Linked DNA regions of Danio rerio. The protein of the gene in region 2 purifies or fractionates together with the protein of the main gene of each other region. This does not show direct contact. Links are inferred from orthologs where the notes say so. Each region holds a gene or a part of one and is shown on either strand. Other genes may lie near its edges. The genes, in order: cbx3a and max.

Region 1 (4,294 bases), on a different chromosome or scaffold from region 2:
GCAAAACCATGATGTGCGTATCTCGTCATCCTCAACTTCCTTAACCATGCAAGTGTAATAAACGCTTGTGTTTTTTGTTGCAAAGTTATCTATGACAAAGTCTCCCAAAGACAGATTTGTGTTTCTTGGACCACTACTCTCATCCTTAGAGCTCATTTCATCAGACACATTATCAACTAAGACAGGGACATCATTTTTCCCAGAGCTGCTAACTATGATTTTGTTTTTGGTTGCTTTCTCTTTTTTTTTTTTTGATTTTTCCTTTTATTTGCTATTCTTAAGCTTTTTGTTTCTTTTTTTTGGTGTTTTTTTTTTTGTTTGTCTTTTTTTATAGGCCTTTTCAAGTGTCACACGGTTTCATTTGGATTGTGTTCTGGGGAGACATTTGAGAATGGTAGCATTTCATGAAGAGACATGTATCCAGGTTGGCTAGAAACACATGGCACATCCATGTAGACTATATGCGCACTGAATGGAATAGCATCAGTTAGTGAACTATCTGTAAGTGGATCATCTGCAGGAAGTAGATCATCCAAATCTTCTGTAGTGCCAGGCTGGAGCTCAGGATTTGCCTAGTCTGACACCATGAATAGTGCAAAATGCTTTATCAAGGAAAATTTCCCATGGAAAAATTCCAGTGGACCTAAATCCAGAAGTGATGTTGCGAAGTGTCACTGCTCGTTTGAAGGCCTCGTTCACAAGTCCTACAATCTGGTAGACTAAATTTAACTTGTGCCTAATGTCTCACTTTACCCCACTGCCACATTTTAGAAATTTTTTTTTTTTTTTTTAGCAATTCAGACTAATCTTGAGCTAGCATACTCACATCGTTTTATATGTTGGTAGTTCATGCTTTCCAAAGCACCAGGAATTCCTATTATTCATGGTAAAGGAGATATGGAAGGGGCTTTAAAACAAAATTGTTATAGAGTGATATATAAAATTCGTTGCCTAGATACAGGGGGTATCTCACATTACCCCGTTCTCCCTTTGTTGTGTCATGTTCTGGATGTAGTAGGCAATAGGCTAAACATATAGAGAATCTGTTTTAGAGATCTGTTTAATGAGTGAACACTTAAATTGAAGTTAAGTGATACGGTGTATCTCTCAAAATAACTGAATCGAGATGTTTTGCCATGGTAATCTGCGGATGTGCTTTTGAATTCACAGGCGCTCCGCCCAACGTAAGACTCATTGGATACACGTGATTGCTCTCAGATAGGCGTGGCTTTACGTCCTCGCGTTCGATTCTGGCTGGCCTTCGTCGAGCCTCAGTCGGCTTTTCTTCTTGATTTATTAGTATCAAGTAAGTAAAACTTTTAAAAGTGCGTACTTCGTTGGCGCGGGAGCAGTTTCTGTAAAGCCATTTGCAGTTCAGAAGGCGTGAAGATTTGTTATCCAAGTTTTTATCTTATCCATTGTCATGGTGAGTTTCGCGCGCATGCCTCTCGTGCTGCAGCACCGTCCATTGTAGTTTGTTGTTTGAATGCTGCAGTCTTGTTTATTTTAGCTTATTTTTGTAAATCTGCTTTTAAGCCCTTTAAGTTGTTTCACTTTACAGAAATGTAGGATGCATATTGCACAATGTTTTGTAACGTCGCGATGTTTTGTCTGTTTCTGTGAGCATTTCCTGCTAGCAAGTTGGCTAACGCGGGCTACTGTAAACCAACACGTGTTTCAGCAAATATTAAGCGAACAATATTTTTTTGTGGAAAGTTATACGTTCACGCGAGCTGTGTGTTCGCCGGGAAATCTTAAACCGCTATAAATTCGAGTGGGAAGTTTGAAACGCTTTCAGGGCCCTTGGCCTGTTCATGCATGCGCAGTTACCATTAGCTCGCTAACATTCAAGCACACTTAAAAGGCACCACATACTAACGCGTTTTTAACCCTAGGCTAGCCGTAAAGGCATCACTGGATTTGAGAACCCCCCTAGCATATAGTATCATTTAATTTCTTAGTAAATGGGCAAACATTAACGTTAGCCTTTTTACTATTATATTACAAGTCATAAACAGTTAAACCTTTTCGTTTGTTATTTTGATACAAAAAGAGCAGAGTCTTAAATTTTTAACATTTTAAATTTAAAGTACTTGAAATGAATGATAAGGTCTGGTTTATGATGTCATTTGTGTGTGTGTGCATTTAGGTCAACATGGGTAAGAAGCAGGCAGGCAAGTCAAAGAAGGAAGTTCAGGAGATTGAGGAGTTTGTGGTGGAGAAGGTAATGGACCAGCGAGTGGTCAATGGAAAAGTTGAGTTTTTCCTCAAGTGGAAAGGCTTTACAGAGTGAGTACTTCGTCTCTTTTGCAGCTATGAAAAATAAACGGAATTGTTTTTGCATATATTTTGATTTGTGAGTGTAGCTGTATGCTATTAGATTGTAGGGGAAAATGACTCTCCATCAGGTGGTTCCAGTTTTTAATGATTTTTTTTTGAACACTAAAGATAATATAAAGCAACCTGAAAACCGGTAACCATTGATTTCTACAGCAGGAAAAGCAAATACTGTGAAAGTTAATGTAAACAAGTTTCCAGCTCTCCTCAAAAAACATGATTTGTGTTCAATGGAAAAAAAATCTAACAAGATTGGAGCAAGTGAAGGATCAGTAAATTACAATTTTCAGTTTTTAGTAAACTATCTCTTTAACAAGGTATCTATGTTTCCTCAGTGCTGACAACACTTGGGAGCCTGAAGAAAATTTAGACTGTCCAGAGCTGATCGCCGCATTCCTTGAGTCTCAGAAAGGAGTGGTGGAAAAACCAGAAGCTGTAAAAAGAAAATCATCCACTGATGAACCAGAGACAGAAGAGAGCAAGGCAAAACGAAAGAAGGAAATGGTAAGATGTTGTGTTGGTCATTAAAATATCTAGCAGATGTGATGTTTTTTTTAACATTGGTTAAATTTGCTAAATCTAAACTAATATTGTTTTTTGTTTTTTTACTGTAGTCTGACAAGCCTAGGGGTTTTGCAAGAAACCTTGAACCAGAGAGAATCATTGGGGCGACTGACAGCAGCGGGGAGCTCATGTTCCTCATGAAGTGGTAAGAAACTATTGTGGTTTTGTAATTGATTTAGAACATGTTTAGCTGAGAAAAAATAGTGGGGGAAGTCTTGATCTTGTTTTGAATCTGTTCAACTTCTACAAGTCATACTATATGAAGAATATTTGAAACCTATTTTAACTTGGTAAATAAAATGTTTGTTTGTTTTGTATGAAAAACAATCCACAAAAGAAAGCTATAACGTTTTGGAATAACATTTGAGTTCATTTTAAAGATTGTTTTAAAGGCCTGTAGAGGGCAGCAGTCCCACGCATAAAACCTTTTTATTAAAAAATAAAGAGGCTTACTGGAGGGCTCATTGTGTCGGCTTATTTTTATTCAGGGTTTCTGCAGGGTCTTAATGTCTAAAATCCCAAAATAAAAAATGTAGGCCTTAAAAGTCTTACATTTACTCTGTGTTGTAAGTCTTGAATGTTTTTTTTAAACAAGTCTTAATTTTCCTATGTTCGTGTATTGCTAGCCAATCTGGTCAAAACTCATACAATCACCAACAATCCATCTCAAATTTCTATTCAAAAAGGTAGTTTAACTTAAATTTTTAATTTGTGTAGAAGTGCTCCACGTGTTTACTGCTCAGGACACAATTATTTATATATAATCAAAGGTGTATGGTATAATTTTTTTTTTTTTTATGAAAAAAAAATAAATGTGTGTGTGTGTGTTTGAATCCATATCCATATTTTAAATTAAACTGACAAAATACATTTGTTTTAAAATCTAGGTTTTCAACATCCCTTCAATAAAGCATCCACAAGATAATTTACCTCATTTGCAATGCAGAGGTCATTGTTTTGAAGTGCAACACTGTACTTCCTAGTCTAATTGTTCTGTTTGGTCTCTAGATAAACTTCTTTGTCTTGTGTTTACAGGAAGGACTCTGATGAAGCGGACCTGGTTCCCGCACGAGAGGCTAACACCCGTTGCCCGCAGATAGTTATTGCTTTTTATGAAGAAAGGCTAACTTGGCATTCTTGTCCTGAGGATGAGCAGCAATAGCATCCCACATTTCATTACAACTTTCTGTGTTGGTGTCTTCCACCTGTGCTGTGTTGATAGCCTGTCAGTGGAGGATTCTTTTTGTTTTGTTTTTTCAGTTTATTGAAGATTTGTCTGGAAACTATGTGCATGACAGTAGTCAACCAATGAACGTATGTACAAATGAGATGAGTGTTTTTAAAGTTACAATAGAGGACGCTTAAAGTGTTTATTTGAATTAGGTGTCTCCGC
Region 2 (4,326 bases):
AGCAAGAAGCGCATCCGCTGCATAAAACATATGCTGGATAAGTTGGCAGTTCATTCCGCTGTGGCGTCCGAAGGAAATTAATGTCTAAGCCGAAAGGAAAATGAATATGTATGAATGAATGAATGAATGAATTTCATATTCCTTTATTATAAATTTTAAGGAAATACTTTTGGTGTATCAAAAAGTGTTTATGATCCATCCGACAAGCGAATCCAGCTAAAAATAGTGCTAAACATAATAATTAAATAGAAAATAAGGCGATAACTGCAAAAAGGTCCACATTTTGAGAAAAAAACAACCACCTCTTTCATCAGGCTGCTATGGGCCTGCTATTAAAGAATCAGGATCAGTTTTATTTTGAAATGCATTATATAGTTTTCTATGTTATAGTTTTCTTCTGAAATGATCTGCTGTATTTGATCTAGATAATTGATTAAAATTACAAAACTAAATACTTTTCCCTTATAATTTAAAGTTGAAACAACTGTCTATATAAAGATTTATTTTTGCCCGATCACAGTCATAACAACAGCAGTTGTTTGTTAAAGGGTTTTAAATTATTAATATTAAAGTATTTTCAGTAATCTCTGATCACACTATTGATAACAGTATAAAGTAGGCCCACTACTAATGAATCAAAATTGTGTTTTCTAAGACACAGCTTTATACTGTTATGAATAACACCATTATTAGAGAATCAGGATCAGTTCTGTTTTAAAATGAGATATGTTACATTAAATTTGTCATGACAACAAGTTTTCCTCTGAAATATTTTGTAGCTACAGAATTATTATTATGCTTTAATACAGCTGTGATAAAACCACCACATCCATAATAATCAAAATAGCCAAAACAACATTGTTTTTATTCTCCGGGTTTTTTTTATATAATTGTTATTAATAAAGTATTAGCAGAAACTGACATCCAAACCGTGCTGTTTTTGTTTGTTTATTTCTGTCATTTTAAACTGTCATCAAGTTCACATTTAAAGTAGGTCGTTAGAGTAACCATGTTTCTGTGTTTTTATAGCTCTGATAAGAGTACTAAAACAAGAATATTACCAATGGTCTAAATATTTTTATAGTTTGCAATTACTCACAAATATGCACAGTATTAGTGACCCACGTATTAGTCACAAACAACGCTGAGCAATCTCCACGTGTCTTGCTGGTTCCGAGACATGTAAATGAACTACAATTACCACCTCCCATTGCCACCATAAGGGCTTTCCTTCAACCCCATGTAGAGACTCCGCCCAGAAAAGCTGTCTGGGTGTTGTAGTCCTACACAATAGTTCCGTGGTTACATCCACCGACTGCGTAACTTAAACAAACGACAAGTCCCACGATGCTCTGCGGCGCAATCACAGACGTGACACGCCACGGTAAATGTCCGTGTGTAGGCGAGTCACGTGTGGGGAGTCCGTTGATCTCGTTTCGTGTAAGCAGTGAATCTCTCCTGTTTGTTCATTTGATTTGGGCCCCGTTTCATGTTGTTTTCAAAACAACATTTCGTGTAGATTTATCTATCTTCGCCGAAGAATGAGCGACAACGATGATATCGAGGTCGACAGTGATGTGAGTATAGTTATTTTTGTTTGTACTCTGCATGTTTGAAAATGAAACCTCTTGTATTTTCGATACTTGAGCCTCAATACGGGGCTAGCCTGCTAGCTAGTTAGCCAGCCAACCTAGCGTTTGAAATAATTTCCCAGCCAGTTTATTGAGAATATCCAGCCAGATAAGCGATTAAACACGGGGGTCGAGTCTATACTCGTCTCCGTATGTGTACATTTGCGATTATGTGTAAGTTACTAAAACAGTGTATTGCATCCATCAAATAGCCAGTTAAGTATCACTCTTACAGCTGTAGCTACAATTGTACTTTCTGTTCTGTTTTCTTACAGGAAGATTCACCGAGATTTCACGGTGTGGTGCGTAATAAGCGGAGCAATTAATCCAGTTTAGCCTTTAATGCTGAAAATATCTTCTCTTTTTGAGATTAGCTACCATATATTTCCGGGTAGGTACTGAACGCCGACTGATTTGCATCGGTGGAAGACAAAACAATATAGGATGATGCCTTAAAAGGGGGCATGGATGTGTTGGATTCGATGAGCACCGGGGTCTGCTTGTTTTGGGTGGTTCGGGGAGCTCTGTGCTCGACAGCAGGGCACTTGCTGCAGGAGGGAGGGAGGGACGTTGGCTGAGCGAGAGCCGCAGCCACACTGCGAGTGCGCGACGCGATAGCCCAAAAGCTCGCGTCGCAGAAAGCCAGCAGCGAGATCTCTGTATCCGAGCATTCTGCTGTGTCGTGACGCTCGCAGTGTGTGTGTGGCGCAGTAGTTAGACGATGGAAATATACGACGGCAGGGTTATCATTTGAAATCTATGGCTTTAACATCAATGGTGTCTTGTTTTTGTTAGATCAGACCGTATATGAATAAATAAGCAACATTAAATATTAATACTGAACCTATGGAACATCCCCCTTGCCGATTTCCAAAGACATTTTGTACATTGTTTATACTAAATTGTCAATGTACGGATAAATTATTTTAAAATGATAGTAATACACATATCTTTGTTATATTAAAAAAAGGGTTTAATGGGGATTCTGTGACTCTTATTTTTCTAAATTAGAGAAATCTTAAATTCGTAATGGCATTGGCATTAATGTTGAATGTGCTTAAACATGTAATATCTAAACAAGCAAAAATGAATACATTTAATTTACTTTTGCAATAAATTGAACAAGTCAGGTTATGCTTAAAACAACAACAACAAATATCTGTCAACAGGGAACGAAAATTGATGAGTTGATTTTTTGAGCTCAATAAGCTCAAATGTTTGCTGTTTTAATCATAAGCTCACTTCATTTTGATCCATTTCAGGAATTTATATCATGTCATTTTGTTTCTTAAGTAAATATCTTAGTTTAAAGATCTTTCCATATTTTATCTGCAAAACAAGACGACAATACTGAGGATAAACTAAACTTTTAACAGTGTGATGAGAACATATATTTTCTGGTTAGTGGAAATCTAGTTATACTATTTGTTTTGTAAAATGATTAAGTTGTATTTTCAAATTGTGTTCACTGTCAATTTAGAGAAAATGTTGAGTTGACTTATGTGACCCTGCTACACTAACCCAGTCTTATGTTGCATGTCAATATCATTATATGGGTACATGATAAATGTACATTATCAATATTTATTTTATGCTACAATTCATTACAATATTGAGTTATTTAGTAAATATACCATAAGCAAAACTAAATTTTTGATAAGTACTGTGCGTTAAACTTGAAACTCAGCTTTTTTTTTAACCCCCAGATTACAGATGTTTAAATTGCTGTATGTTGGGCAAGTATTGTCACGGACACCTCATTAGTTCAGCTTTCAGATAATGCACGAATCTTAATTCCCAAAAACGGAGACATGTCACTGGTTTTGTGCTACAGGGTCACATATTGTCTTTTTATAATTAGATTTTTTATTTAGTCAAAGTATTAAAATGACCTTCATAAACCTGCAGAAAGATTGTGGTAAAAGTTTGGAACAAATGGAGTTCACGATGCAGTATTAATTCTTTTAATGGGTTTTTAATTACAAAAATTTCCAGTCTGATCAGTGACTTTTGAGAGAAGTTGGTTTGTCATGCTTTCCTTACATTACTCATGCATTTGCAATAGCCTTTAAAAAACAACACAAACAACAGCAAAGAAAACTAGGAACATTTCTTATGATATCTTATAATCCAGATACAAATTAAGTGCAATAATCTTTAGATTTTGTAATTAAAATTAAAGAGAAGCATTTGGTGTAGAACCTTGTCGTTTCCTATCCAAAAAAACTGATAATTGCAAATTTTAAATGAGCTTGACAGATGAAACTGTCTCTGAAATACTGGGCACAGCATAAAATGGTGTGTTAAATTGAGCAATTTGACCATCAAAAGGTCATAGGTCTTTTGTTTTGTATTTATTTTTACAATACATCAGCGTTGCTTTCAGGAAATTAGATTTAGGTTTCATTTTCTGGAATAGTACCACAGTCAGTTTTCTACTAAAATGTTTATGTTCTGTCAGTGTGGTGAGAAATCGAGCCCCGCCCCTGCAATCGAGTTTGCATAGGACCCTAATGGATCGTCTACGTTGAATGCCTGATGAAAAGTACTTTCTATAAACTATTCTCAGTCTTGAGATTTTAACAAGACTAATCATATTAGTAACATTATTATCGGTAACTCCAAGTTAAAGTATTTAATGATGTCTTTTTGATATCTTTATGTATTTATATGTAACATTATATATTTACATTAG

Evidence for each region.
Region 1: the proteins of max (region 2) and cbx3a purify together in Homo sapiens (affinity purification with mass spectrometry; 3 studies listed by BioGRID and IntAct, with this or other methods). This does not show direct contact. The link is inferred for Danio rerio from reciprocal best matches to the Homo sapiens genes MAX and CBX3.

Annotation. Positions count from the first base shown.
Region 1 is NC_133194.1:22,210,264-22,214,557, reverse strand, and holds the start of cbx3a (chromobox protein homolog 3a), read left to right. Parts: upstream 1-1,224; 5' UTR 1,225-1,423; coding exon 1,424-1,426; intron 1,427-2,149; coding exon 2,150-2,289; intron 2,290-2,672; coding exon 2,673-2,841; intron 2,842-2,951; coding exon 2,952-3,046; intron 3,047-3,936; coding exon 3,937-4,063; 3' UTR 4,064-4,294.
Region 2 is NC_133195.1:31,576,336-31,580,661, reverse strand, and holds the start of max (protein max), read left to right. Parts: upstream 1-1,433; 5' UTR 1,434-1,541; coding exon 1,542-1,577; intron 1,578-1,906; coding exon 1,907-1,933; intron 1,934-4,326. UniProt on the Homo sapiens protein: Transcription regulator. Forms a sequence-specific DNA-binding protein complex with MYC or MAD which recognizes the core sequence 5'-CAC[GA]TG-3'. The MYC:MAX complex is a transcriptional activator, whereas the MAD:MAX complex is a repressor.